Diceros bicornis minor: one gene and its partner. The protein of the gene in region 2 binds, or shares a complex with, the protein of the main gene of each other region. Links are inferred from orthologs where the notes say so. Each region holds a gene or a part of one and is shown on either strand. Other genes may lie near its edges.

Region 1 (14,755 bases), on a different chromosome or scaffold from region 2:
GGGGGTGGTCTGGATCCCAACAGACACGTCCGTAGAGTTCTCAGGTGCCCCACCAGGCTCAGCCCCCTGGGCCACCCGGAGGTTTCCTTCCACAGTGTGAATAGGAACCAAGAAATCCAACCTTCCGGGTGTTTTCAGGTTTTGTTTTGAATTTTGCTGAAAAGTGAACACTAACATGCTCTAAATCTTTCAGAGGCTTGTTTTTATTCCACTGATGGTTATCAAAGGAGGTTGTCCGGTGCGGCACATTCCTGAAACTGTTGCATTTTATGCTTATCGTTGTTCTCATAGCTGTGCTTCCTCCCGGTGCAGGTGGGGTTTGCCTTGTATTGCGACTGTCGGCCATTCTCACTCACTTCCCAAGAGATTCGTTTGGTTATAATTAATATTTAATATTGACTCTTCATTGAGCAGACTTTATAAATGAGGTGTCTGCAAGGCACGTCAAATGTCACAGATGTTTTACCTTAAAGTTTTATTGGGTTAAGACAGTTTTTTTTGTGTACCATAAATGTTGTATTTTCAGAAAAAGATAAAATGATGGTGCTGACTGGTTTTCTTAAGAGTTTTATGTATATTGCACAACAGTCCTCAAATATACAAAAACTACATAAAGTAGCATTTTTTTCACTCTTAGAATTGGAACTAATGCCTATGCAGTTAAGTTGGATAAAATGTATACAGATGTTTCATATATTACAGGATAAATATATAAATCAAAATTTCTTATATAAAACTAAATTTGGGAGTTGGGTGGAAATATTTTGAATATTAATTTATTTTTAATGATGCAGGATAGGACTCTGTGCAATGTATTTTTGTAAATGCTTTTCAAAATATTTGTCTTTGTTAGTCCTTCCTTTGCTGCCACCAAATTAATAAGATGCTGTTGAAATGTTTAAATAAAGAGTTTTAATTTTTAAAAGTGCATGTGATATTTCAAATGAACAATAAACAGTATATTTCCCTTTTCTCAATTTGCTTTTGTTTCTGCCCGTGGAGGTCTGGGGGAGGAACGACTAGATGTGCCTGTTCTTTCTGCCACGTTCTATGTCACGGGCTTTTTAATGGAGACGTGTCCTCACACAGCTCCCCCAGCTTTACCCTGGGCCATGGCCACCTTACGTGGAGAACAGGCTGCAGTGCAGAGAAGATTGCTTGAGGAGAAACTTGGGAGAAGAGGGGATGGGTCTCCTCGGAGGAGCGCTTGTCCCTGGGCCGCTGTTGCTGAGGGTGGGCGCTGGCACGGCTCCCCATCAAGCCGGAGCAGAGTTCGTTCGCTCCGTGTTTACCGGATGCCGGTGTGTGCCGCACCGCGCGGAGGTCACTGCGAGCAAGGGCGGAGCTGAGGGAGGCCCACGTGCCACGAGAGAAGGGGCTGGGCAGCCCTCTGAGGAGGTGACACTGGGGGTCGGGACAGCGGGAGGAGTGACGCTGAGGAAACGCTGGACGGGGCAGGTGGCAGGACTCGAGCGCCAAGGTCCCCGGAGAGAGCGGTGCCCGCGAAGGCTCCCTCCTGCCTCCACCTCCCGTCTGTCGATTTTCAGGGGCAACCGGTTGTCCAGGCAGATGACCCGTAACCGGCTGTTCTCTGGAGGAGCGAGAAGGTGGGGTTCCGCCGAGCCCCGCTGGGGACCCGTCGGGAAAGCGGCTCCACAAAGGGAGAACGTCGGGGGAAGCGTAGCTTCCATTCGTTTCTCCTTTCTTAGAACAAGGGGTGCGCGTCAGACACGCGGGGGCGCTGTTCCTCACGCCGCGTGCCTCCCTGTGAGGAGGCTGCCCGCGCTCCTGGCTTCAGCGGGGGCACGGGGTGGACGGGCTGGGTTTGAGGCCGTGGCGGAGGTGCGTTAGTTCAGGCCGAGCCAGGGTTACCCCAGACCAGCTGCCCCGGGACGAGCGTTCCTATCACCGTGTCACCACTTTCTTATCCTTCTGCAAACACGCGTGTATGAGGAAAAACCTAAACACGTGCTTCCCCTCCGTTTCTGACACAACGATGGCACACTCAACGTGCCGTTGTCGCCCCCCCTCCCTGTCACCAGAGCATCTCGGGGCCCCTCTCAGGGCAGGACTGCTCCTCAAACAGCCCCCGGGCTCTCACCGCGGGCACCAGCTGGGAACCGAGAGCCTCCGTCTGCGGGGCTGACGACCGGGCGCGCCCGCGCCACGGCTGAGGCGGGCGGTTGCAGCGGCGCCCAGGCCTCCGGGCGGCCCGCCCGAAACTCCGCTGGAGCGGCCGGACGGTTCAAGTGTCGGCGGTCGCTGGAACGCCAGCTGCCTCACCCGCGACTACCCTCCCGGGCACTGGGGGGCTGGGGGTAGGGCAGCGCCGCGACTCCCGAGCCTCAGTTTCTCCTCCGCCGCGCCTATCCGCTCCGCCCTCACGTGCGCTCGCCATTGTGAGGTCAGCGCACCCGCCTGAGGTCAAGTAGCCGCGGTCCGCAGCCCCGCCCCGCGGTCACGTGGTGGCCCCGCAGCCCCCGCCCCGCGGTCACGTGGCCGCTCGTCCGCCCGCCGGCCCCCAGCGCTCCGTGGCTCCTCGCGGCCACCGTAGAGGGCGTCGGGCGGCCGCCGGGACGGAAGCCGAGAGGCGCTGCCGACCGCGCCTGCGACAGCGTCAGCCCTGCGCGGAGCGCCGGCCCGATGGCGGCGGCTGCGATGGCCGAGCAGGAGAGCGCCCGGAACGGCGCCCGGAACCGCGGCGGCGTCCAGCGCGTGGAGGGCAAGCTGCGCGCCAGCGTCGAGAAGGGCGACTACTACGAGGCGCACCAGATGTACCGGACCCTCTTCTTCAGGTAGCCGACCGCCGCCTTCCCGGGCCTCCGCCGCCGGCGCCCGCCCCCGCCCCCCATTGGCCCGCGCCGCTGCCTGTCGCCGAGGGTCGGAGCGCGCGGCCGTGCGGCGGCCCGGGGAGGGCTCCGGACCCCGGCCCAGACCCCGGACCGCAGATCCCGCCCCAGACCCCAGATCCCGGACCCCTGTCCAGACCCCCGACCCCGGACCCAGACCCTGGACTCAAACCCCGGAGCCCCGGTTCCGGACCCAGACCATGGGCCCTCGATCCTGGACCCCTGTCCAGACCCCAGACCCCCAACCCCGGACCCTGCCCTTGACCTCCCGGCCTGAGTCCTCTACCCCGCTCTCCTTTCCCCCGGCTCTCCCACCGTCGAGCCCCTAGCGCCGTTGCCTTTGAAACCCCCACGCGGAGTCTCACGGTTCCTCCCACAAGGAGTTCAGTCGTGAGGGTTTAAACACGTTTCTCTGCTTGTTTGGTCGCTCTTGCTCACCCGCATGCTATGTGTTGTTACTAAACCAGCTATTTTTATTACCCTGATGGTGTCGTACCTGCGCTGCCCAGTGCGCTGGCCGCTGGCCACGTGCGGCTCTGAGCTTCTGGAACGTGGTGAGTCCCAAGTGGGACGGGCTGTGAGTGTAGACACACGCGGGCTTCAAACACTGCGTGCAAAAAAGGACGTGAAATAACTCGTTGCAACTTTTAAAACATTGATTTCATGTTGAAACGATGGTTGTATATTACTGGGTTAAATAAAGTGGTTTTTATTTTAGTGTGGCCCTATAAATTTTCAACGAACTGTGTAGCTTGCATTAATTTTTTTGGCCTGCAGTGTGTCACAATATTTCTGCTGTCACACAGCCCCTGCCATAAATCGTTTTTATACGTGTGAGACATTCTTGTGAATTACACATCTGTGATCCTTTATAGTTGGAACCAGAAAACAATTGGGCGATTCATTAGAACTTGGGTATGTATTAAAGATAGTTTTAGAGGATTTAATCTGTTCTACAGAGTGCGTTTTCTTTCTCAACTGCCGCAGAACAGCAGATGTTTTGGTAAGATATTTAAGGGCAGTGGGTCGGGCATTTATACCTTTTAGGCCTAGATTTTAAAATTTTCTTCAAATAGCAAGTTGAATCAATATCTTGGGAACTCTAGTGGTGCTTTCTGCTTTGGTTGTAGTTTACCAATTTGGTTGGGTTAAATGTGGCACGTTGTGGCCCAGAGGACCAGTTAGGAGTGAGTTGATGGTTCTTCAAGGAATGAGGAAGATGTGTGTGGGCATTACACTCTGTGACACTGAGCCTCCCGCCAGGCGGCTCAGCCAGTCAGAAATCTGTGACGGGAAGCTTTTGTCTGCTCAAGGTCTGCCCCAGTGCTTGCTGTTCTTGGGGATTTGTATATATATAAATATTTGCCCCAGTGATTAATCAGCAAAACTGGATCATCCCAGAAATAAACACGGTGCTCCTTGTTTTGAGCCAGTTCTGCAGTGGCTGCTACATGAGGAACGTGAATGTCGATTAGCTTTAAAGTGGTAAGTCCCTCCACCCGGGATGCATTTCATGGTGACGTTGTGGGGTGGTGATGAACATCAGGCTCTCCACCAGCCCAGCCTTGACCTGGGCTCACAGTCCACTTCTGCTCCATGACCTGTGACCCGGGACACCTTGTTGCTCCTCTCTGAGCCTTGGCTTCCTCGTGTGTCATTTGGGCTACTCCTACAGTTCTCCAGGAGAGATGAGAAGTTAGCAATCTGCCGTCAGCCTCATGGGGGATGCAGTGGACCAGGTCAGCGGTGGCAGTTGTGGCCATCCTGGAGGCCTAACAGAAATAGCCCGGAGTTGTCCCTGTCCCTCCAGGGTACAGACCGTGTTGAGACCCATGATGCCAGCCCTGGGTTAGAGCCCTCTACAATGGTTAACTCCTGGAGAAGTCAAATTCATTGAATTTTAGTCTTTTTTTAATGTCTTTTTACAAATATATATATCTATATTTAAGTATTTATATAAAATGTACAACTTGGTGAGTTTTGACATATGTACAGGCCTGTGACAGTATTGCCAAGCAAGACGAAAATATCCATCACCCCCCCCCCCAAATTTTCTCATCTGCCTTTATAATCAATCTCTCACCCCTTGCCCCCAGGCAACCGCTGATCTCTCTGTCATGATAGATTGTTTTTTTTTATCTGGAATGTTATAGACGTGGAATAACAGAGTAGGTCCTGTTTTTCTATCTGAAGTCATCTGGCGTGGTCATTTGGAGATTCATCCATGTGTATGTTAGCAGTTCATTCATTGCTGAGGGGTCTTTCGTTGTGTGGATGGACCAGTTCATTTATCCATTCACGTGTTGGATACATTTACCAAGTTATACTATTTTAATTCCCTTACATTATATCCCACAGCAGTTTAAGGAGGTTAGGAGAAGGAGTTGGACAATCCAACAGATTGGACTTGGGGGGGGGGCTGTTCCACAGGAGTGGGCAGTAGTCGCCGGTCCAGCTGGTTGGGCTGGAGGCAGGGCGTCTGTGTTTGGCTCTGTCTCGTCAGTGGTGCTGCTGGCAGTGGGCGGTCACCTTGTCTCTTCAGGTCTCTCTCCGCCAGGACGAGGAGGGAGTCTGTTTTCCCGTCCTGTTGGTTTATTGGTACTCGGTTAAATAAACCCCGAGGCTGGCATGACTGCTTGGCATGGTGGCCCCGTGCTGCCATTGTCGCCTCAAGGGGTCTCCGCAGCTGGCCCAGGCCCGCTGTGAGTTAACTGAAATCGGGGCTTCCTACTGACAGGGCCCTCCTGAGACTCGTGTTGATTGTTGATTGTGGCCTGTAACCTTCTTTTGCCTCTTAAGTCGAATGAAGAAGTTTTTAGAAGGAAAATTTAAAACGCGTGTTCTCTGCAACCCCATGCGGAGGGTGGACTTTTCCTGAAGGGGTGGCTAGGACATGGGCAGCTGTGCCTTGTCAGCTCAGCCGGGTTCTAGGGGCGACCCTGAGGCGGGGTTGCTGAGCTCGCCTGAGCCCCGCTGCATCAGGGCTTCAGTTAGCGGAGACTTTTGACACCTCTGTCTTCTTAATTTGACATCTGCAGTTTTTATCACTGATATTACTGCTTCCATTTCTATGTTCTGCTCTCTTTTTTTAAAAAATAAGAACAAAATAAACTAGAATAATTGCACAGACGTGATCCTGTGTGGCTAAAGATGTGCTGCTGCCATATCAGTTGGTGGGCAGATAGCACCGGCACATGCCAGCCTGGAACGTCCTTCCATCGGGGACGCAGAGGCCAACTTCGACGGTGCGCAGGTGTGGACGCGCAGCTGCAGAGGCGAGGGGCTGCGTGGGTGGCGCTGTGCTGGAGGGGTCTTGTTCCGGCTGCTCCCAGCCCCTGAGGCCTTGGAGGGCACCTCACCCCTGGTCAGTCCCTTCAACAGATCCCTTCCCACTTGCGAAGTTCTGCAGGAAGAAGCACGTTCATTTTTCATAGTGGCCGTTCACTGTCTCCCCCCGCCCCCCCCCCCCGCCCCAGCTTTCCTTGATCTGCAGCAGCGACTTTGACTGGGTGGGGAATGACTGGTGGGAATCCTGGTGGCGTGTGTGCTCAGTAGACGGGTCACCACCCCCCTCCCCTGTGTGGGCTTCCGTGCCCTGAGACGGGCCACGATCACTGCCTCCTGAAAGCAGGCTCCGTTATCCCAAGAATTTTATCTGCTTTTCAGGGACTTTTTTTTCTTTCATCTGGTTTTCTAAGAGGTTTTCTATTGTTATACCTCACATAGAAGAGTCTACAACTCTGTCGTGTCATGAATAAGCCAAGACAAGCTGGCGTGGTTGTCACTTAGGAAAAATGCCGACAGTTCTGTGTGTGTGCAGGTGGCAGCATGAGGCTGTGCACCTCTGAATACTTGTTTTTCCAGAACACCCCATGGCGGTGCTGGGACCAGGTCATGTGCAGGGCGGCTCCCGTAGGATTAGACTGGGATGACCTGGGCTGCTGTGGGAGCAGGCCGCGTGTGTGAGAGAGAAAAGGACTCCGCCCCAGCGGCGCTGTTGCAGAAACCACAGACTGTGCTGGTGACCTGCGGGCTGACAGTGGTTTTCTTTCTTGGGATGCAGGTTTTTCCTCCCAGTCGCACCTCTGTACAGCCAGATGGGGGCATGTGTCCGGGCCAGCTGGATCCCTGCGTGCTGGCTGGAGTGGGGCTGTGTTCTCCTGGGGGTGTCTGGTTGCGGAGCCTCTTTGAAGAAAAGACCTTTTCTGTGGTTAATGGAACAGCCAGCCGTTCGCATTCCCCCCTGACTGTGGCCCTGGTGTGCTCCGGGGAAGCTCGGCCTTGAGCCCCCTGTGCCAGCACCGGCGCTTGCCGTGTCCTGAGAGTGCCCGTCCACGGCTTACTTCCTTTCTCTCCTGAACTGGATTTGTTTGGGCTGGAGGCACAGTTTTGGTTGACTGGTTATGTTTCTTTTCTGATAATCACTGAGATAAATACACAGCCGGTGAGTTAAATGTTCTGGCGCCAGCTGTGCCGGCTGCCACTGGAGGCTGTGCCTCGCTTTGGGAAGCCGTTTTCTGCTATTTCACACTCTCTGTCTCGGGCAGGGGCTCTGTGCCACACGCAACAGCTCAGTCCCGGTCTGCTCCCTGAACATTGTTTGTTGCAGGTGGACCGTCGTCCTTTCTGTTCTGTGTCTGCACGTTACCTGCCAGGCTTCTTGCTGCTCTGTGCTTCCGTCCCTCTGCAGTTCAGGAAACCAGCTTTTCCCAGCTCCTGTACTTTGTGAGAAACATGTTCAAAGTGGGAGGGTGATGCACGACCAAGGGTGATGGCGCCCACCCAGGCCTGTGCCTCCCATAGGAAGTCAGAGGGGAGCACAGGGAGGGGGCTTGGGGGCACGTGGTCTGGCAGCCGACACTGAGGTCAACGCAGTTACTGTGGGTACTGTCCCCCAGTCAGCCTCCGTGCTGAGCTCCCACTGTCCCTTGTTCCCTGCCTCACTCCTGACCTGTGGTTCTCCAGGGGATGAGGGTGCATCACCCGCCCCTTCATGCAGCACCTGCCACCATGGCAAGGCCTGTGCCTGAGATGGAAGTCCTCCCTTCTGCTGAAGACCCTGGAGTGGCTGCAGGGAGGCGCTGCTCAGGCTCCAGGCCTTTCTGGGCCCAGGCAGGGTCCCCCACCCGCACTGTTATCAGATAGTTATGCTGCAGGGGGCACAGGTCTGCTGGTCCCCTGAGGCCCAGATCACCGACAATGGGGATTCATGCAGGCCAGGGGGAGCTGGGCTGTGGGACACCCCAGTGTGGAGCCTGGACAGACCCCAGGGGCAGGGTGCCTTGACCACTCGGTGCGGCGGCAGACCTCAGGAGAGAAAACAGCCTTGTTTCCGTTCTTGGTGGGAGGTGTGTGTGTGTCTGGGATCGCCAGCTTCATAATGCTCGCACATTCATGCAGATGCCTTATCTTTGCATCTGCTCTCCGAAACCGTCCCTGTGTGGCTTGGCGGACAGAACTCAGGGGTGTGTTAGACTCTGGGGGCATCTGCGTGAAGCGTTGTGGGTAGCTGCCCCTGACTGGCGCTCTGCTCCCCTCTGTCTCCGTTGCAGGTACATGTCACAGAACAAGCACGCAGAGGCCCGGGAGCTCATGTGCTCAGGAGCGCTACTGTTCTTCAGCCACGGCCAGGTGAGCAGCGGGCTTCTCCCGTGGTCTTCTTTGCTTGGGGCCTGAGGGTTGGGGTGGGAATGTCCAGGGAGAGACCTGGTGGATGACCTCAGGCTGTCCTTGGTGCTGGCCGCTCTGCCTGCAGCTGGGTGAGTGTCCTTGGGTCCAGGGGCACAGATGCAGGGCCCCCGGCTCTCTGTGGGTGTACCCCAGGCTGGGAGTCAGCTATCCGGGCTGTGTTGCTAAGTGACTCCGCTGCTCAGAAGAGTTTTCTCAGCTTTGTTCTGTCACAGGTTTCTACCTGGAACCCAGAGCAGTTGCCTCGCTTTGCCGTGCATTCTGAAAACGGCCAGAGCTTTGTTTCTAACTGTGGGATTCTTGTTCGTTTCCATGTTTTGTAGCAAAACAGTGCTGCAGACTTGTCCATGCTGGTCTTAGAGTCGCTGGAGAAGGCAGACGTCGAGGTGGCCGATGAGCTCTTGGGTGAGGCTTTCTTACTGTGCACTCGAGACGGTCTCATGGCTGCTCTCACGTAGCCACACACACACACACACGGGAGCCACCTATACTGTCCACTGCTCTGATGGACAATGGCCTCCCAGCCAGCCAGTGGGCAAGGTGGGGCGTCATTTTGTCTCAGAGACCTGGCTTGCTGGCCTGTCCTTTCTGGCGAGCATGCAGTTGGGGAGCCCATCTTGTGAGCTGCCAGCTGGGAAGATGAAGAAGGGGTCCTGCTCCTGGTCTTTGCCAGCCTGGTGCTTCACTTCCCCACCGCAGCCCACCCTCCGCCCAGCTCCCCAGTGCGGGCTAAGCCGTGAGGCCAGAAAGGAGCAGTGGCTGCTGGTACTGCTGCGGGGAGGTCAATTGGGGGTGGCCCCCAACAGCACCAGGACCCATGGGGGTACGCTGGGACACCACCAACACGCAGGTTGCTTCTCAGCTTTCTACTGCAGTGAAATAATTGTTGTTTCCAATGAATTTTTGTAAGATGCACTGTACGAAGAAGTGGTGTATTCCTTTGGGTAAGAGTCTGTGTTTGTGTTGTTTTTAGAAAATCTGGCTAAACTGTTTAGTTTGATGGATCCAAATTCTCCGGAGCGAGTGGCCTTTGTGTCTAGAGCCCTGAAGTGGTCCAGTGGAGGATCCGGGAAACTGGGCCACCCCCGGCTCCACCAGCTGCTGGCCCTCACCCTGTGGAAAGGTAGGCCCTGGTGAGCCCATGCGCAGAGCGGCTCTCGGAAGTGTGGGAGTGGGCGGCCCGAGGGCCTTCCCAGAGGGCTGGGAGCGAGCTGGTCCAGGGAGCAGGTGTCCCTCTCTCTGCTTCCTTTGGCTTTTATTTGCTTTTCCATTTTAATTGGTTGGAATCATCTGCCACAGCTGATGAGGAGGGGAGATCCTGCTCTCGGAGATAACGCGGGCTGGGTTTTTTCTGTCTTGCTAAATGTGAATGTCTGTGCCTTGATAGCGGATCTCCTCTCGGTGGAGTCACCTCGCTCAAAGGAGAAGCGCCGAGGCAGCGGGGAGGACAGGGCGGCCGCGCTGGGCTGGCCCTTCACATGTGACCCTTCCTTGGCTGCCCCCTTCTCTCTCAGGGGCTTGTGAGTCCTCATGGCAGCGGCCTCGCTCCTCCCACCACGGGTCCTCCTTCCTGAGACGTCCCTCCAGACCAGCACTCTTACGGCGCCAGGCGCTGTTTTTTCTTTTTAGCGTTTGTCACATCTTCTAATGAGCATTTGTGGGGACTGGTCAGGCCGTGAGGGTGGGGAGCATGTCCCGAGCCCCGAGCCTGCTGCTTGGGCACAGGGAAGGGCACTGAGGAGCTGCTGGTTGAGTGACTAGAAAGATGGCTGATGGTGGGGTTTAGAAAGCTGCTTTCGCTGGGTCCTCCACGTGCCCTGGTTGCAGATATAAGTGTGTGCGCCCATCTCACTGGACGTCACCTGGTGGGCCCAGTGGAGAGAGGGCGATGCTGGTCAGGGACTCGTTGCGGCGCAGAGGGCGGGGCCTCGAGGCTTGAAGCTGTCAGAGTTCAGAGGGTCTGGGCTGAAGGCACCTCTCCTCTGGACGTGAGTGCAGATGAGCCTGTGAATAGCACCCACAACAGCCAGCCCTCCTGGAACGGCCATTCTGACTCGGGGCAGGGGATGGGGTAAATGTCTGTCTGCTCCACAAGCCAGCCACCCCAGGGCGTGCTCCTCCCTCTGCTCTCCGTGGGGCTGATGCACAGGTCCTCGTCCAGCAGCACACTCCTCGCCTGTCCCTTCTTCTCTCGGGGCAGGTGACGCTCCACTCGCCATCTCCCGCCTGCTGTGGCAGGCGGGGTGTGAGGCTCCTCTGTCCCTCTGGGTGTTGGCACAGCCCTGCCCTCACCCCAGAGGGACATTAATGAGAATAATGGGTCAGACCTGAGAGAATTCGAAGTCCAGAAAGTTAAGGAAGCTCTTCTTAGAGGATGTGGCTGAGTCACTCCCCCAACTCTAACCCAGAAAAGAAACGTTACTGAGAAAGAGCAGCTGGCGCCTTCGGGCACAACAGCCAGCGGGCTCCCTCCTCCCTCTGGCCACACATTCCCCATGGGCGCCTCGTTCTTCCAAACTCAGCCTCCTCCCAGCGCTTCTAGCCGGTTCCTCCTCATCCCTGAGAACTCACCTGATGTCACCCATGGCCCGTCCGGGCCATCCTCATTAGCGTAGGTTTCCTGCTACTCGCTCACAGCGCCCATTTATTTCCCGGCTGTTGTCTGTCTCCCCCGGCACGCCCTCTTGCCCTCAGAATTAGTCCGTCTTATTCAGTGCGGGACGCCTGGTAAGTGCCGTTCTGCAGCCCACGTGGCCATCTGCTGGCTGGCCCGACAGGGCAGTGGGGAAAGTCTTCCAGAGGAGTCGGGCCTGCATGTGCAGGTGGGAACCAGCAACCATTGATTCCACACCCCTCCTGCCCGGCCCATGTTTGTGGGGCCCATGGGGACCCTGCGTCTGTGAAGCAGAATGTGCGAACCATGATGGTTCGGCCTCGGTGGTTCAGGATGTGTATTTATTGTTACAGTGTTAAATATTCAGGATAGAGACAGTTGAATGTTCTTCTTCAAGCACAGACTGTCAGGAGAGATGTGCAGTGTTCTGTGTGGGTGTCCAGTTCGTGTGGAGGGGCCGTGCTTGGGGGTGTCTGCGGGAGCCCAGCCTGAGAAAGGCAGTGATGGGGCTCCCCTCCAGGCAGGTGTATGAGGCCAGAACTGCTCTCTGCTGGGCGTCCTGGGGCCACTGCCTGCGCCTTGTTGGTTGGGGTTCACGACTTGCCCCCATTCACATTCCTCGCCACATGCGGTGTTTGAGGTTCCATTCCAGGGCTCCGAGGGGGCCCTATGCCGGCGTGAACTTCTGGGCTTAGTTACCTGCCTCATTTTTCTTCTCATGTGGATGCTCTAAAACCAAAAGGTTATTTTTGTGGGTTGGAGGGAGAGAAGGGAGACAAACGAAACACGACTGCAGAAAGGAACGCTGACTCCGTATCATTCTGAGTTTCCTGAAGGCAGTAGCCGGGTGCCAAGAGCTAATGCCAGGCTAGGAGCGCCTTTTAGGTGGTGGGGGCGGTGCCACGCTCATGCAGAGCCCTGGAGGGCAGGCGGGGCTGCCTTCCCTGGGTGGAACTTATGTTCTCAGTAGCAGATGGGAGAGAGCAGGCACACGGGGCCGGGCTGGGGCGGGTGGCACGGCACCTTACCCTGGAAGGATGAGTGGGAGCCAGGGTGGCCTGTGAGCAGGGCAGGGGGTGATCGGTCTGTTGTGGGAGACGGCCGGGCTGTGGGCAGGTGACCTGGAGGAGCTGGGGTGTCTGAGCAGGAACTGGTGGTGGTTCGGCCTGGAACCAGGTCTCTGCCTTGGCGCTGCCAACTCTCTGGGTGTCCTGTGCACTGCAGGGTGCTGAGCAGTGTCCCTGGGCTCCAGCTAGATGCCAAGGGCACCTACGGCTGTGGCAGCAAAAATCGTCTTTAGACATTGCCAAGTGTCCTGTGTCGGGGGTGAAATCACTATGGGAGGAGCTGGTGTAGGGGGCAGCACGTGGGAGAAGAGCAGAGGCATTGTGAGTGGTGAGCGGGGGGCAGAGTGGCATGGGAGGCCCAGTTCACAGCCTGACGCCCACTGGCAATGGGCAGGTCGGGACCATCAGCCAGTTGACAACAGAGATGCTCAAACAGCTCAGCGTCAGAGGACACGTGTTCCCTAGTGGGCTCACATCCTCCTCCCCTCTCGCTCTGTGAGCACTGCAACTTGGCGCCTTGATGAAAGGTGTGGCCACGGGACACGTGGACTGAGAAAGGGCCACTGAGACTTGACTGTGCACACGAGTGAGCTGTTAGGATGCAGGTCCAGTTCAGGGCTGGAGAGTCCACCCTCCTGACCAGCTCGCAGGTGACCCCGCCCTGAGTGGGGACAGTCCAGCCTCTACTGGGCACAAATCAGAGGTGCAAGTCCAGGGTGGTGGTGACGGGAGAGACAGGCCGCTCGCCACCATCCCGCCGCATACAGGACCCATTGGTTCTCACAGGCACTTTGGTCCTGTTCCCAGTGGGATGAGCAGCCCTGCATCCAGAGGAGCTTCTCTCTGGTGCCTGCTCCATGCCGGCCTCGATGAGACCTGGCCTCATGGGACTCAGCTCTTTGTGGAGGGGGGCAGACGGTAACCATGGCGATTAACTCAAGTGTAGAGTCTGTTCGAGGGTGGAAAGTGCTGCAGAAGAAAGAGCGGGAGCGGATGGGCTGGGAGCGGGGCTGCGGGCTCTTGGCGGACTTACGGGCCTGTGGGAGAAAGGCGGGCCTCGACCCGGTCCTGGCTGCTCCTCTGGGATTCAAGGTGCTTGTGTGTCGGGGTCAGTGGACTTGGTGTCAGGATTTTGCATTTCGTTTCATCATGTCTGTATGAAATTGCTATCCGTGTAGGTCAAAAGAGTCTGTCCCTGTTGGCCATTTCTCACGGTTCGGCTGATATAAATGTTGATGTGGGAACGCGGGGCAGCTGGCATGACTCAGCTGAGCTGAATGACCTGCCCTGTCTGGCCATTTGTATTTGACTTTGGATTGGAGGTGGCTGGTGAGATGTTGGTGGAGCTGCCGTGTGCAGGACGGTGCGCTGTCTACACTGCTGCACTCGGTGTGAGCAGGGGGAGTGCTGTGCAGAACGAGAGCGGGTGCGTGGGGAGTGTGCAGTGGTGTCTTTCAGGCCCCCTGATACGTCATGTTTGTGATACGTCTGTGTTGACGGGTTTCTCTTTTTGCCTTCATAGAACAAAATTATTGTGAATCTCGATATCACTTCCTGCACTCCACTGACGGTGAAGGCTGTGCCAACATGCTGGTGGAATATTCCACCTCGAGGGGATTCCGCAGCGAGGTGGACATGTTTGTGGCCCAGGCTGTCCTACAGTAGGTACCTGTGTGCACCTGTTGCCTCTTTGCTTCAGTGGCTGTGGGGTTCCAGAGGCAGCCTCTGAGCTGGTCACCTCATCACCTGACCGAGACACGTGGGAGGGTAATCACTGAGTCACTTAGGGTCGCACTCGAGTGTTGCCCTTGCAACCCCTGCTGCAGACCTCTTGGGGACAACAGACATTGTCCCTCTCAACTCTCTTAAGCCAGCGGAATTCTCAGGCACTTGTAAGATTTCAATTGAGCAGTAAAAGAAGTGAGTTTTAATGTTTTAAATTAACATTCTTCTGTTACCATCGATTTTCTGTTTTTCCCTATTAACTCTTTTATGTTTTGGGGGTTCTTCAGTGTCAGACAACCTTTCTTTTGTAGGACACACGTCTTTAGTAAGTTTCACCTGGTATCTGGGGATGTGGGGTGAGCAGGCTATCAGAGGCTATGCTGTTCTCTCCAGAGGTTTGTGCATCTGAACGCTTCACTACGTGGATAGCGCCTCTCACAGCCAGCGTTCATTCCCACTGGATCCTGTCTTGTCCCTCTGCTCCCGTTTGGCCTCCTCATCCCGTTTTCTCTCCAGCAGTCATCTTGAGATGTTGAAACGTCCAACGGTTGAGTGGGCTGTGCAGTGAGCGCCCACATCAGGCAGGGCCGCCCGCCCAAGCGCCTCCCTTTCTGCTTGTTCCCGACTTGGGCCCATCCTCCCTTCCTGATGGAGATGTGTCACGGGGAGAGGTTTATTTCCTCCCACAGAGACACTTTGATCTGGTAGCCGGGCGTTGGGTCGGAGTGTTCTGTGAATTTGAAGGGGGCTGGGTCACAACGACTTGCTGTACTTTATAGCACCTCGGAGCTTCTGAGCGTACTATTTGTTGC
Region 2 (15,534 bases):
CCATTTCAATTTGCTGCATAACATTTCTAATAATCTGAAATTATAATTTCGTTTTGTTCTCTTCTGTATTGTTGATATATCATCACTGGTATGTGTTCAGTGCAGTTTATGCAGTAGGTGCTTTGTTGTTTGTTGAATGAAACAGAGTATTAACTAAGTACAAAACTGGAGCACTGCCTTGGAACCAGCAATCCCGCATGTAGGATGTTACTTCACAAATATGAAACAACACATTCACAGAGCCACTCACTGTAACATAATTGGTAATGGAAAACTATTGGACACAAGGTACATGTCTGTCAGCAGGGAACTGGTGAAATAAACTATGCTACATTCATACAATAGTCCTAAGCAGCAGTAAAAAAGAATGAAAATCTTTAATGAAAAATAAAATGATCTCCAGGATATATTGTTATGTGAAAAAAGCAGAGTGCAAAGGACACACACATGCTTATTGGAAAAAAAGAAAAGACATAGGAAGAAGAAACGCAAAACTAATGAAAATGGTCACCTCTAGGGTGTTCAGATGGGTATGGGATTTCTTGGAATATACCTTTTTGTGTACTTTTGACTTTGAACCATGTGAATATTTTATGTGGTCAAAAATACATTTGAAAGAGTGAAAAAAATCAAATGCTAAAATTGAATAAAAACAAAAACAAATGAGCCTAACTGCATATCCAATTGATAACAAAACCACACAGAAAACAATTTAGGTGCCTTTCAACTCAGCTCTCTGACTGGACTGCTTTCATGGGATGTATTCTAAGAACCAAAAGAATTGGCTTTCCTCTTAGTATGTTCGTCGTTGGCAATGGTAGTGATGAGGTCAGTGTGGAGCTCTTTGGGGTGTGCTTTAACATAGACTCCACCCGGTAGAGCAAAAGAGTAAATATATGGATGTCGAGAACCCGAATTCTCACTGTGGAATGGGGGAAGGTGAGAAAGAACTGTGATGCTGGATTGGAATTAGGGATTGCAGTATGAACTCTTTTTTGTGTGTGTGTGAGGAGATCAGCTCTGTGCTAACATCTGCCAATCCTCCTCTTTTTTTTTTTCTGCTGAGGAAGACTTGCCCTGGGCTAACATCCGTGCCCATCTTCCTCCACTTTATATGGGACGCCGCCACAGCATGGCTTGACAAGTGGTGCGTCGGTGCACGCCCAGGATCCGAACCGGTGAACCCTGGACCACCACAGGGGAGCACACGCACTTAACCACTTGCGCCACTGGGCCGGCCCCGCAGTATGAACTCATAAAAATATATATTTCTGGGACTGGTCTGGTGGCATAGTGGTTAGGTTCACGTGCTCTGCTTCGGCGGCCCAGGGTCCACAGGTTCGGATCCAGAGCACAGACCTATGCACTGCTTATCAAGCCATGCTGTGGCAGGCGTCCCACATATAAAGTAGAGGAAGATGGGCACAGATATTAGCCCAGGGCCAATCTTCCTCAGCAAAAAGAGGAGGATTGGCAACAGATGTTAGCTCAGGGCTAATCTTCCTCACACACACACACACACACACACACACACAAAAAATATATATATATATATATATATATATATTTCCTAGTTCGAGCCAGTGAAAAAGTCTAGAAGCAGTGACACCCCAGTAGCAATGAACACACCCTGCACTCAGACCTTGGTTTCTCAGTATCGTTCTCCACTCAAAGGACCAGAGCTCCCTGGAGAAATGGTGGATTCGGGCCGGCCCCGTGGCTTAGCAGTTAAGTGCGCGCGCTCCGCTGCTGACGGCCTGGGTTTGGATCCCGGGCGCGCACTGAAACACCACTTCTCCGGCCATGCTGAGGCTGCATCCCACATACAGCAACTAGAAGGATGTGCAACTATGACGTACAACTATCTACTGGGGCTTTGGGGGGAAAAAAAAACAAAAAAGTAATGGTGGATTCTAGGGCTGGGGTAAGAAATACACAAGCTGAGCCTGGAGCACCTTGTAGTGCCAGAAAGTCAGGAAGTGCTTGAACAACAGAAGCATGAGGCATGTCAAAGGGACTCAGGAACTAACCCGAGAGAAGCAAAGCTAGAACAACTTGAGCATCTAAAAGAATATGAACGATTTTGGAGAGGAGCATGACTGGGAGGGGGCACCAGGGAAGGTGCTGGAGTGCTGGTGGTATTCTCTATTTCAGTCTGGAGAGGATAGATACATAGGGTGTTCACTTTAAAGGTCCATTGCACTGTACAGTGATATGATTTATGCACAGTACTGCATGAATGCTGTAGACCAATAAAAATGACCCCAAAATGACACTCTTGGATTCTAAGTTGTTGAATAAAAAAAAACGATGCATCCACCATGATAATTGAGAAAAGAGAGCAGGGGAAAAGGAAAGCTCTTCATAGAGAAATGCCAATTAACAATTGTAGAAAGAAGGAAAGCATCAGAGGGGCCAGCCCCCTGGCCTAGAGGTTAAATTCAGCATGCTCTGTTTCAGCTGCCCAGGTTCAGTTCCTGGGCGTGGACCTACACCACTCATCTGCAGCCATACTGTGGCAGCGATCCACATACAAAATAGAGGAAGATTGGCAACAGATGTTAGCTCAGGACAAATCTTCCTCAGGGAAAAAAAAGGATCAGAAAACCACTGTTTTGCAGCCCCCAATGCAATTCCTTCTGGTCAGGCTCATCCTTGGTTGGTGAAACCATTAGATAAGGATTGTTGCGCACAAGATATGGACAGGGTCTCAAGGTATTACCCCAGATTACTTGTGCATTAAGAAGAGAACATGCAATTTTGCAATGGGGAGACCTGGCAGCCACCACCTTGACCACGTGATCAAAACAAACCGAGCCTCCCCCACAGTGGGACCACCTGACCCCGAGTGCCTGCTGATGCTGTTGAGGGAGAGGGGGAAGGAAAGCAACTTGTCAAAGTGCTTAAGCTGAATCTAACAAGGAAGGAATCAGGCAAATCCAGACTCTAGAACATTCTACAAAGTAACTGCTCTGGACTCTTCTAAAAATATTGTTGACAGATTGCCTATGGAGAAGGGAGAGTTGGGAGAGGCAAAGGTGGCCTCCCACTTCCTGTCATTAAAAGCCTGGCTGAGTGGTATTGCCATTCATTGAGCCAGGTCGTGGAGAAAATGTGGGTGCTGAGGGGCTGCCCAGCACTGGCCATGGGTGCTAAGAGGGAAGGGACTGTGTCTTTCAGTCTCAGTGTTGCCAGCATTTGGGACATGGCGGGCACTCAGTGAGTGTGTGCTGAAGGAATGAGTGAGGTGTTTGCAGGAGAGCCAAGAGCTGTCTTGGAGTCCCACCCTGGAGATGTGGCCTGGAGCTCAGGAGAAGGGCCTGGATAAGCCACAGACGTGGGAGTGAAGCATAGAAATGGAAATGAAGGGTGGCCCAGTGGCATAGTAGTTAACTTTGGGTGCTCCACTTTGGTGGCCCAGGGTTCGCAGGTTCGAATTCCACACACAGACCCATGCACGGCTCATCAAGCCGTGCTGTGGCAGCGTCCCACGTACAAAATAGAGGAAGATGGGCACAGATGTTAGCTCAGGGACAATCTTCCTCAAGCGAAAAAAAAAAGAAATGGAAATGAAGGTGGACAAGCTCCCCTGGGGAGTAATAGAGAGAAGAAAAGGGGTCCGGGGACAAAGCCCTGGAACCCCCCAACATTAAGAGGTGGAGTGTGTGGGAGGAAAGAACCAGCAAAGGAGCCAGAGAAGGAGAGAGCAGTGAAGTGGAAGAAAAAGCAGGAGAGTGAGGGCAGAAGAGGGCGGGAAATGAGGAATGCCAGAGGCTTGTGGAAGGGGCAAGTCCCCAGGTGCCCACGGAGGCCGCTCTGCTCCGCTTGGTGAAAAGAGGCCATTGTCTCTCCCACAGGCTTTTCAGGGCCTGGAGGTCTGAGGCCAGCGACAGCTGCCGCATCTGCTCCTGGGAGTGCCTGGCCTGGCTAAGCAGCGGCCTTGTCAGACCTATTGGAGCTGGCCAGGCCTGTAAGGCGCCAGCAAATTGTGGGCACAGCTGATCTGTCGCCTGGGCACCTCCAAGTCAACGAGTCCCACCCCAAAGCAAATGCTGCTCTCCTCTGAGTCTGCTCCTCCTCCCATGTGCCCTTGCGAAACGGCACCACAAGCATCTCATTCCAGGTGCCAGACCATTTCTGTCTGAGAGGCCACTTCAGCTGGGCCCTTCCCTCATTCTGCTGTCTCCCAGTATCATTGCGATCACAACAGGGCCTGCAAGCTGCACCACGTCCCTGGGGCTCAGGGACTGTCCTGAGGCCCCTCACCTAGGGGCAGGCTGTAGGTCTCAGGGCACCATAGTGGGTAGGGGACAAGGGGTAGCGGTGGGTCAGCACCCACAACCCAGGTGGACACTTGGATCAGAGGAGCACCATGCCTGCAGTAAACATTCTGACCCCTGTTGAAGGATCTCAGCATTTGGGGCCTGCAGGTGTACATGGGGCCACCCCCCAGATTCTAGGGGCAAAGGTGTGGTGCAGTCTGCAGCCACTCCATCTTCTCATGGAGTCCTCAGTCTCCTCTCATGACAGCAGAGACCAGGACCCAGAGCCTCCCCGGTACCAGGGCCTCCCATCTCTCATCCCTGCAGCATTTCCTCCCTCTCTTGTTTGCCAGCCTCCAACCTGCCCATCCCTGCCCTGCCACAGCTACATACTCCTGCACAGACAAGCTTCTGGAATGAGGGGTCCCCAGTCAGTCACCATCACTGACTCCTCCCCTGCCCATCCTGCAACTGCTTCTTGCCCCTCAACATCGCGGATGATCTTCTTGTTACTAATGCCAGAGGTGGCTCTGTCCTGCCCTAATTTTGCCTCTTGGCAGCACTGGACAACTCCCCCTTTCTGGAGGGGCGTTCCTGGCTTCTGACACTGAGCTCTCCCTGTGGCCTTGTGTCTGAGCATGCTCCTCGGCCTTTACCAGTTGGTAAACTTCCTCAAGGTCCAGTCCTCTCCTTTTTTCATGCCACACTCTCGGGGAAGCCATCTCATCCGTCCTCACAGCTTCTAGGACATCCTGTCCACAGGTAACTCCTGAACGTCATCGTCGAAGGCTGCACAGGGCTTTGGAATCGGACCGGGCCTGGGTGCCAGTCAGCTCTTCCGTCAAGGTTCCCACCACACACCCTGAAGACTCCACTCCAGTCTCCATGTCCAGCCCCGCCGAGCTCCTGTCCCCGTGTCCAACTGCCCAGTGAATGGCTCCTAACCACCAGATGGCTCTGTCACTTCCGAGCCGAGAGGTGCTGGCACAAGGGACTCAATGACCATCTCTAGGGTCTGTCTGAAACTTGCATCTGCGTGTGTCACTCCCCTGCAGTGGACCAGTCAGCCATTCCTGCGGACCTGGCTTTTGTTGAATCCCCTCTCCCTCCCACAGCCCATGGGTGTCCAGGGGGCTGGCCTCCCACTGTCCACCTCACGCCCAGCCAAAATGATTGGTGGCACAACCCAGTTCTGACCAATGAAAGGACAGCGTTTATTTGTCAGGGGCATCTGAGAAATAAGCTACACTATAGGGCGAGAAGGTGCTCCTTGCTGGCTGTGAATGAGGGATTCAGTGGAAGCTTCAGGGCAGCCATATTTGGATCTTGAGGCAGCGGCCTGGGATGAAGCAGACACTGCAGAATGCAGAGGGGAGGTAGGAAGAAACTGGGTATTTGCTGAAATTGTTCATCTGCTGCCAATAGGCCTGGACTTCTCAGTTTCGTAAACCAGTAAGTTTCCTTTATTGTTTAAATCAATTTCCTTTACGGTTAAATCAATTATTGGAAACCAAAAGCAGCCTAGCTAATATAGTTCCTTTTGGATAAAAGTCCAAGTCTCACATTCACCTTGAGTGCTATTTAAAATTTCAACATCAAGTTCCTGACTCAAAAGAAATGAGAGCATTGCTAAGTCTGTCACATGAGCTGCCAGACCACACGGGCTCCTAAGTGGGCCCTGTTTGCTATTCCCAGCTCTCAACTGGGGTCAGGGGCTTCTGTCTGCTCCTCAAAGCCTTTGCCCATCAGACCTCTGTTCATCTTCCCAGCCTGGGGACCCAGCGTTTGCCCCAAGAGGCCCAGGCTGGAGGGCAGCTTCCTTCCAGCCTTAACCACCCCGGATGCCCTCCTTTAAGAAGGAGGCTCGTAGATGACCTCTAGTGCCCACACACCAGGGAGGGTGGGAGGACCAGTGCCACTAGCCCATGCTTCTTCCCCGTCCCTGGCACCCGAGGTTTCGTCTCAGGCAGTGAGGGGTGTGCAAAGTGAAAGCCCTTGTACACACGTGGCAGGGGAAGGATCCCTTCCACGCTATGGGTGAGCGCAGGGTACAGGGGCCTGGCTGAGGCCTAGCTCTCGCACTGCCTCGTTGAGTGACCTCAAGCCAGTGACCTGTAATTCCGAAGGGGTGAGAACTGCCCGTGTCCAGGAGGGTACAAGCGGGGGGGGGGGTGCCCACATAAGAGCTGTGACACAAAAGGCTCGGACACCCCATCTCTGGGCCACATTTGGCCATCGCTTGGCTTTTGGCCTCAGTTTGTTTATGGAAAACAAGAGGGAGGATCACCGCCAACTCCTCACCCCAGGGCTGGGGTAAGGATGAAGGAAATTGACTGAGGTTTAAGGACTGGCCCTCATTGTGCAGAGTCAACAGCTGGGGACCAACGTGGCACAGGGACTTGCTTGAAGTCATACTGCAGAGCTGGGCGACGTTCATCCCTGATTCCCCAACCTGCATATCTTGCGTCGAGTGCACTTGCTGCAGCAGCTGAGGGGGCTCCGGGCTGGCTGCCACTTGGCCTCCCACCAATGCTAGACCTGCCAGAGGTCAGGTGACAGGACTGGGCAGCAGGGGCCAGCTGCTTCCCCTTTCAGACCTGGAAAGGAGTCGCTCGAGGGTTTATTCTCAGTGGGCTAAACACAAAATGCCAAAGCCCATCCCTTGGAACCCTTCCAACAGCCCGTTTCTCCTTCTCACCCTGAGGCACTTCTAGAAGCTGGCTGGACTCAGGTTCTGGCTCCATCACTTCATTGCCAGGAGCCTCAGCTGTCTCACCTTTTGTGCGAGGTGCCTGGCACCTAGCAAGAGCCAGGGAGGGATACTTGCCAGCTATTACTATTATGAGCCAAATTGCAACATGAGAACACATTTAATGCTACATGCAGCTTGCAGCCTGGCGGGCTCCTCCCCACACTCAGAGAATCCTATTTGGAGAACCCTTTCTCCATAGCTTCAGTCACTTCGGGGTTCAGGAAGCGGCTAGCCAAGCGTTCGATGTCATCCAGGGTCAGGCGACTCAAGGACCTCTCATAATCCTGAGGGGAGAAAGTCAGGAGGATTCAGGGGGTGCCAGCGGGCAGTACACTGTGACAGAGGCCAGGGGTGGGAGCAGCAGGGGCAGAAGGGGATGGGCCAGGCTACCCTTCTCACCCTCTGTAGTTGATCCAGGACTCTGCTGGCATCAGCAGCACTGAAGTGGCGGGCCAAGACTTTGGAGATCAGTTGCCAGGCGGGTGGGGGTGGGGGTGGGGTCTCGGCCAGTCTCCGGGCAGCGCTTTCTTCCAGTAACACCTTCTCCAGAGGTTTGACCACTAGGTTGAGCTTGGAATTGGGCCCAATGCTGTAATCGGAGAGTCTTTTCCCATCTGCCAAAGAGAGATTAAGTTGTTACCCACAGCGGCAAGGGTGGCCTCAAGGAGCCCCAGCAGCCGGAGTGCTGCCGCATCTGGCTGAGGAAGGTTCAGCAACCTCCCCTCAAGTGGCCAGCGCCCAGACCCTCACCGCTGCCCGGGCTCGGCCTGGATATCCTGTCCCCCGACTTCCTGCGGGGCCCCTGGGGCGTCTCCTCTCTCCGGTTACCTGCCAGGGCCTTGCCCTTGAACAGCAACCGCTGCTGGCGCACGGGGACGTTCAGCTTCTCGGAGACCAGATGTTTCAGCGTGGACACCAGCTCATCCTCCGACACCTGGCCGGGCCGAGGGTGGGAGGCAGGGGCTGAGCCCGAGTTCCCGCCGAGGGCGCTCTCCCGGCCTCCCCGGCGCGGCTGGCCCGCCCGCCCCGTCCCCGTTCCCGCCCTCGGCTTGCCCGGCCCTACGCCCGGGGCTGGGGTTGAGGGCGCGAGCCGGCCCGGCGACGGGGCCCGGCGACGCTACCTGCAAGCTGCACTCGCGGCCCTGGAGCGCCTTCACCGTCACCTGCATGGCGGCCGCGGCGGCGTCCACTCCGGCCGGCGCGCACCCCAACCGCCCCCCCGCCGCGCGCCGCCGCCCCGGGCGCGCGCCGGAACCACCCGCCGCCGCCGGAAGCAGCGAGAGGGGCGCGCCCGGCGCCCCGGCCCCGCCCCCTCCACCCCCGGAGGAGGAGTCCCCTTGATGTCCCGCCTCGCCGGCGCGCAGGGACCCGCCCCGGCGACAGGTCCCCCACGGCGATGGCGCGGGAAGCCCGCCGGGACAGAGAGGAGGAATGGGTGGGGCCGGCCTCGTCTGGGGAGGAGGGAGGGCCACCGGCGGAGCAGGGCAGCGCCATCGCCCGGTCTGTGTCTCTCAGGAATCCACAGACGGCCCAGCCCTGCCAAGCTTACCCCAGTGCCCGCGGCGGGCCTGCTGTCTCCTTTCTAGTCTGGCTGAAGAAAACCAGCTGAGCTTGGGAGCAGGCAGGAGCCAGGCCTCTGCCCGCATGCTCCCGTGGCTCATTCTAGAACAGAGAGGCCCACCTCTCACAGAGGGGGTGCGTGGAGAAGGAGGGCTGAGAAAGAAAGTCTGCACAGAGATCACCGTGTCACCCAAGCCAGTCCTCCACGCCGACCCACACCTACCCAGCCACACCCTTCCTACCCCCACCCCCAGGCCTTAAAGGGCAAAGACGGGAAGGGACCCAAGCTTGCTTCTCTCTTTTATTGAAATATATTTTCTGGGCAGTGCCTACCTACCTAAGTCAGCATAGCCTCTTTGGCACTGAAAGCTGGAGAATAAAAAACCAGTAAAAAAAAAATCAGCCTGGACTTTTCTGAGTGCATAGTGCATGAGAACTAAAGGCCTTTGGTACACAAGAACTGTGGGGACAGTGGGTGGAGGGTGGGGGCTAGGGGTGGCAAAAGCTTGACCCAGGGGCCTCAGGGAACTGGGCACAGGCTGCTATAGATGAAGTGGCCAATGACCAAGGCCAGCATCTCTGAGGTGCCACTCAGTGCCACGATGAAGGGGGCCTGGGAGGCATAGTTGGCTTGAAGGCGGCGGAGGGACAGCTGCAGCATGGCCAAGGCCAGCAGGCTGTTCTGCACCCCTACCTCAATGCTGACTGTCCGCCGCTGGGCCACTGGCAGCTTCAGGCATGTGGCCAGGCCGTAGCCCACCAGGAGGCCAACCAGGGGCACTGTGAGGCCCACCAGCACGATGGGCAGCCTGACGCCCGCCAGGATGAAGACTCCCATGCGGTAGGCCAGGAAGAGGCCACCCAGGAGCAGCACAAAGCTGAAGGGCTTGATAACCTGCAGCAGCAGCTGGGAGAACTTGGGGAGCTTGGACTTGATCACTACGCCTGCTGCTATGGGGATGGCGATGAACAGCAGGGTCCCCAGGATCTTGGAGATGGGCACGTGGAGTGTTTCATGGATGCTGAGCAGGTGGCTGTAGATGGCTGAGGACAGTGGCAGGAAACCAGTGGCAGCCACAGTTGAGATGAAAGTCATGGAGATGGCCAGAGTGACATCCCCTCCAAGGAGGAGGCTGAAGAGGTAGCTCCCCCCGCCGCCAGGCGACGAGCAGGTGATGATGAGGCCCAAAGCCAGGGCCTTGGGCAGCATGAAGACCTTGGCCATCAGGAAAGCATAGAAGGGCATGACCAGAAACTGACCCAGGAGGCCCAACAGCATGGGCTGGGGGCTCTGCAGGAGCCCCTTCAGAACCTTGAGCTCCACTTTGCACCCGAACGAACACTTGTTGACAAAGATAAGAGGCAGGAGCAAGTAGAGTATTGGGTTCTCTGAGAAGTGGACCAGGTCGGCGCCAAGGGTGGCAGGGGCGTCTTCGGCAGCAGGCGAGACCTTGATGCAGAAATCTCTCCGATCCTCAATCAGCATAGGTGGGGCCTTGTGGGGATCCACGAGCTGGATGTGGAGTGGGGCTAGCCCAGGCAGGCCTGAGTGGATGCTCACCACAAAGCCGCCCCCCCGACCCCAGGTTATGGCACTCACATTCTTGATGGTCAGCACCTCTGTGTCCAGGGAGGTGACTCTTAGCGTGGGGCCTGGCACCGTCCTGTTGCCCTGGCCTGGGTACTGGCTCGAGATCACAATGATGCCCTCGCTCTCTTCTGGGAACTCAAACTCCATCACAGAGCCATCCCCAATGCTCAAGTAGCGGCCCTCTGTCAGTGGCACAGTATGGCCCAGAGCCGTGCTGAGGTTGGCACTGGCTGTTCCCCAGGCCCCCCATGGCAGGCTGAAAAGCAGCAGTGCAGTCCTGAGCATGATTAGGTGGCCTGTGCAACCACTGCCCCCTCCCAGGCCAGGCCACTGCTGGGAGCTGCCCCTGCCCCTCCTAAACACCATGGCTCTTCCTGAAGGCTGGCGAGCCCAGACCCTCTGTGGCTTAGGAGAGCAGTCCTGCTGGTACCGTTGGGTTGTCCTGAGAAGGGTCCATAGGCGGGCCCTGGCCCTGTGCTGCCTTCCTTGATGGCAGAGCTCTTCCTGAGGAGGAAAGGGACACAGAGAGGGGGCTGGTGAGGGCGAGCAGCTGTGAGCCCAGGAGCCTGGGGATCTGGAAGCCCACTGCTGGGAGACTCAGTGGGGCCCCTTGCCCCAAGCCCGGGAACAGAAAGGCAATGCCTAGTGCTGGCCCTTGAGTGCCATTCGGCTGTCCTCTCACCCAGCACAACTGCCTCAAGCTTCCTATCCCTCACCCAGAGGACACACTCACAGATAGCAGTTCCCGTTCAGGCTGCTGCTACCCGCTCATTTCCCTGGACTTGCCCAGCATGGTGACCATGCAGAGACATCCTGATACCAAGGGATTCGGGAGAGCCACCCCCAATCCTGTCACCACTAGCCTGTTCCCCACCAGCTTCGAGACGCAGCTACAGCAGGGCCGCAGCAATCCCACAACCACGATGAAATCTCTGAAAGGCTGCCCAGGGATGACAAGGAGACAAGCTTGATGAGAGCAAAGGGTGCTGATACAAACACTGGCTTGCTGGGGCTGACCCGGTGGCGCAAGCTGTTAAGTACGTGCGCTCCGCTGCGGCAGCCTGGGGTTCGCCGGTTCGGATCCCAGGCGCGCACAGACGCACTGCTTGGCTAGCCATGCTGTGGCAGCGTCCCATATAAAGTGGAGGACAATGGGCACAGATGTCAGCCCAGGGCCAGTCTTCCTCAGCAAAAAAAGAGGAGGATTGGCAGATGTTAGCACAGGGCTGATCTTCCTCACAAAAAAAAAAAAAAAAAAAAGAAACACTGGCTTGGGCCAGATCTGAGAGACCATCAGAGTGCAGGTTAGGGCATTTGAGTATCATCTGCCAGGAAGAAAGCAGCTGGCAAAGTGGCGTGGGCAGTGGGTGACCATCCGGCCGAAGGCCCCAGGGGCTGATGTCCACCACCAACGTGCAGTTGTGAATGGTGCCACCATGGTTCCCTGGCCTCCCCTACCTGCTGACAGTGGGGAGATGGGGGTTCTTCTCTGGGGAGCAGGTCCCCTCTCCCCAGAGAAGTCACCAGAAGGGGCAGCAGGAGGGGGCCTGATAGGACCACATGTCTGCTGGGGGGCTTCTTCTCCTTCTGTCAGAACTTCCACTCCTCTGGCAGTCCCAGAATTTGAGCTCCTAGAGCCACTGTGTCACACCTGAGAGGCTCTGCTCGGAGTCCAGGGGCTCCTCCCCATGCCCACACGCACCCTACCAGAGCCTGGAATGCCCAGGGGGACTATGAGTGTTTCTCATGGGCGGGGTGCCTCAGGGTGAAAGGAGGAGGTTTGGGCAGCCACCATCCAATTGCCACATCACCTGCTGGGACTGGGGCAACCAGGATGGGGACACTGGTTTTTCATCACTACTGTTGGTTGCCTCACGCCCTGCAGTGTCCCAGTCCTGGAAGAGGCCCCTGCCTCTGTAGATCCTGACAGTCTTTGTCCCTGCCCCCACTCAGCCATCTGAGACTGGGGAGCGCGGGAGGCAGGAGGTGGAGGGCAGGTTAAGCAAAAGGCTCATCCTTGGGAATGTCTCCCCCCAGCCTCCTGGGATGCCATGGTCTTGGCTGGTTTGGAGTTTGGGTCACTTACCCTGGAGGCCTTGGTCCAGCCTTGTGTCCCACCGCTGAAGAGGAAGGCAGGCAAACCAGAGGGAGTATGAGAAGCAAAGTGAAGGGGAGTCACAGGGAAAAGATGAAGGCACCTGGGACTGAAGCCACCGCGGTGGTGTGAACCAGTTCAGAAGGGAGAGGAGGCTAAGGGTCATCCACCCTGTCCTTCCAGTTCAGCTGGCGGCTTTGAGTCACTGCAAGAGGGGTCTGGCCCAGATCCCACACCATTTCTGCTTGAGGGGCCAGAAGAGTTTGAGCAGATGCACCCCAAGGCAGGGGAAGGAACCCCAGGCTGGCTGCTTTTTCCACACTGGCTGAGTGTTCGGTGTTAGGGCAGTTGGCAGTGCTGACTCGGGGCTCCTCCCTACCTGGGAGTCCGGAAGTTGTCGGACTGGGCACGAGCAGAGCTCGGGCGCGAACCCGGGACGGAGGGAAGGAGGAGGGCGCCGCCGCCGGACTCAGGCTGCTGCCCCGTAGTCGCCAACCGCGACCCGGAAGGCGGCCAGGCCAGCGGCCCGCCCTGGCGGTCTTGGGTCGCGGAAGGCGCCCTCAAGCCACTCCCAGGCTCCGCGGCCGCGCCAGGCCTCACGTTCTCGCGGCGGCGGTCCTTCCCTGCCGGTCCCGGCCGCCCGAGCGGGCGAGCGCGGAGCCGGGCCGGGACCAGAGGCTGCCTTCCGCCCGCTCTTTCCGGCCCGAGGCTCTCACCTGCTGCCACGGCCCCGGAGCTCGGAGCCAGCGGGCCTGCCGGGCCGGCGGACGCCTGCGAGCTCGGCTGGCCAGGGCCCCGCCCCGCCTCGCCCCCGCCCGCGACCAGCCGAGGCCCCGCCCCGCGCACCCGCCCCGCTTCCCCCACGGCGGCCGGCTCACCTCTGGCGGCCGGGGCCGGTTCCGACCGGATGTGACGTATCTGGGAGCAACGAGCCGGCGCGGGCGCGCTGGCTTGGTCGCTTTCCGGGTCGCGGTTGGTCGGCGCTTGGTACGGCTTCGTGCGGCCGTTCAGCCGCCTGTCCGACTCTTCTGTGGTTGCCGCCGGGGCGACGCGCTCCGATTAGGGGCCACACTCATTCCCAAATACACTGAGACCTCTGGGGGCAGTGAGACACACAGGCTTAGCCGTTAGCAGAGCTGGGACGCCCAGGGGCTGCTGCTAGTGGCGGGATCCCAGGATCAGGATCTGTCTATATTTAAGACATAGCCACTTTTGAGTTTTCTACGGTTGCGCATCATAAAATCTGTGCCATCCTGACTTGAAGGTCATCTGGGCCCCCAAATCCCAAGTCCCAATTAGCCAGGGCCTCTGTTTTGTTTTTCCAGAGTTCATACAGGTAGACTGCAGAGCCCCAAAGCCCTTCTTCATCTCTTTCAGGGCCAAGGATATGGAGGGTTCCAAGTCACAGATAGACATTCCAGTTTGTTTTATTTAGAAATCATCCTCAGGCAGAGCTGCAGGGACAGGCCTCTGTGAAGCAAGCATCTGTCACATGTAGAAACAGGCCTTGAAGTCCTGGGGCTCTCCAGGCAGATGGGCTATGCATTGACTTAAGGGTGACATGCCAGTGAGCTTGGCGGGTGTGTCAGACAAACTAGGACAGTTACCCTGGAGCTCCCAAGTCACCATGCTGTTCCCACTCAACCAGTGGCTGCTTCACAAGGATTGTTAGGGCAGTTGCTTGTCCTGTGAAGTCTGTGCCACAAGGTGTGTCTGAACTGACTGCTCCAGCTAAGTGATTTCAAATATGTTGAGAATAAAGAGCCTCCTCAGAATGTACACCTGTGTGGAGACACAGGCAGCTCTTTTGGTCCCTTCCTCCCAGGGTGCAATGCTCAGTAACTCACAATTCATGCAGGCCTCTGCTCTGCGTTCCCGCTCAGGGCGCCCAGCCCTATGGCTCGAGGGCTGAGTCCCAGTGACCCGGACTCCGGGGCCCAGGCTCGACCCAGTTCCACCTTCCTTTGTTCAAGCATTGACCAAGCACCTATTTCACACTGCGGAGCATCAGTGGACTTATCCACCTTTCAAAACTATTTGGCGCTACCAGCAAGGTCCATAGGCTTCATGGAAAAGGAATGCAAACAGATGGTGTAAGGATGGGCAGAAAGGTGGTGAGGGTGTAGAAAAGACATGGGAAGACAGTAAGCAAGTGCATAGTGGAAGGGGATTTGCATGTTCCCAAAGGCTGCTGGGCAACTGCAGTCTGCCAGCGCGCTGGTCAGTGGCTACCCACTGCTCTGGAAGAACCTCTTGTCACGGCTGTGATGGAAGCCAGTGGTCCCCAGAGTTACAGGTACTTTGCCCCTGGAGATGCACACGACACATCATTGAGAATGTCCCAAATAACCCCATAACATCTCTATTTTTAATTTTTCAAATAAATAATTTTAATAAAAAATCTATTATTTAAATGTAAACTTAAATACATCTTGTTTATTTAAAAAATTTGGTGTGTTTTATAAAGTTCAGATTAGTACATGCATAGGATATCTAAGCAGATATACACATGGTGGGGGAGCATGCTTAAGAGGGCTTGATTTATGTCAGTGATCAAAAACATTCAGAGGTCAGAGCTGGCCACGTGGTGCGGTTAAGTGCGCACGCTCCGCTGCTGGCCGCCTGGGTTCGGGTCCCTGGGCGCACAGCGACGCACTGCTTGTCAGGCCATGCTGTGGCGGCCATGGCGGTGTCCCATATAAAGTGGAGGAAGATGGGTATGGATGTTAGCCCAGGGCCAGTCTTCCTCAGCAAAAAGAGGAGGATTGGCATGGATGTTAACTAAGGGCTGATCTTTATCACACACACAAAAAAACACATTCAGAGGTCATAGCTCTAGGCTGTTCATTAGCCTCAGAGGACCAGTAAGGCATAAGCCATTTGTGTGTGGACTTGGTGTCCCGGAACTATTGCACTGTCCCTCTCAAATAGGGTTGTAGGATCCTGATGGAAGCAGGCTGGCACAGGTGAGAGGGCTGGGCTTGGCTCATGCTGCATTGAAGACTGCAATTTGCAAAAGAAAAGAGCAGTGGGGGTGGGGCTGTCCGAGGACAGGGTAAAACTAGCCAGAGGGAGAAGGGGAATGGGTTGGCAGGAAGAGCTGGGGAAGGAAAACCTAAAAGAGGTGTCCTCCCTGGAGGAAGCCTGTGTTTTTATATTCCAACTGAACGGGAATGGGTGCTGGGAGTCAAGGAGAGCAGGTGTAGTGAGAGGCTGCTCCCCATTGTCGTCAGTCACTTCAGCCTTCCCTGAAAAGTGGGAGTGGGCTGGTGGG

What was found.
Region 1: UBL4A (region 2) and GET4 share a complex: the UniProt entries of both Homo sapiens proteins name them as parts of the BAG6/BAT3 complex. The link is inferred for Diceros bicornis minor from reciprocal best matches to the Homo sapiens genes UBL4A and GET4.

What each region holds. Positions count from the first base shown.
Region 1 is NC_080765.1:13,630,175-13,644,929, reverse strand, and holds the start of GET4 (Golgi to ER traffic protein 4 homolog), read left to right. Parts: upstream 1-6,404; 5' UTR 6,405-7,302; coding exon 7,303-7,574; intron 7,575-8,064; coding exon 8,065-8,190; intron 8,191-8,401; coding exon 8,402-8,480; intron 8,481-8,860; coding exon 8,861-8,942; intron 8,943-9,510; coding exon 9,511-9,660; intron 9,661-13,740; coding exon 13,741-13,879; intron 13,880-14,755. UniProt on the Homo sapiens protein: As part of a cytosolic protein quality control complex, the BAG6/BAT3 complex, maintains misfolded and hydrophobic patches-containing proteins in a soluble state and participates in their proper delivery to the endoplasmic reticulum or alternatively can promote their sorting to the proteasome where they undergo degradation.
Region 2 is NC_080781.1:138,420,615-138,436,148, forward strand, and holds UBL4A (ubiquitin-like protein 4A), read right to left. Parts: upstream 8,240-15,534; 5' UTR 8,184-8,239; coding exon 8,136-8,183; intron 7,949-8,135; coding exon 7,843-7,948; intron 7,629-7,842; coding exon 7,414-7,628; intron 7,299-7,413; coding exon 7,188-7,298; 3' UTR 5,703-7,187; downstream 1-5,702. Other genes in the region: SLC10A3 (P3 protein), read right to left, coding at 9,095-10,531. UniProt on the Homo sapiens protein: As part of a cytosolic protein quality control complex, the BAG6/BAT3 complex, maintains misfolded and hydrophobic patches-containing proteins in a soluble state and participates in their proper delivery to the endoplasmic reticulum or alternatively can promote their sorting to the proteasome where they undergo degradation.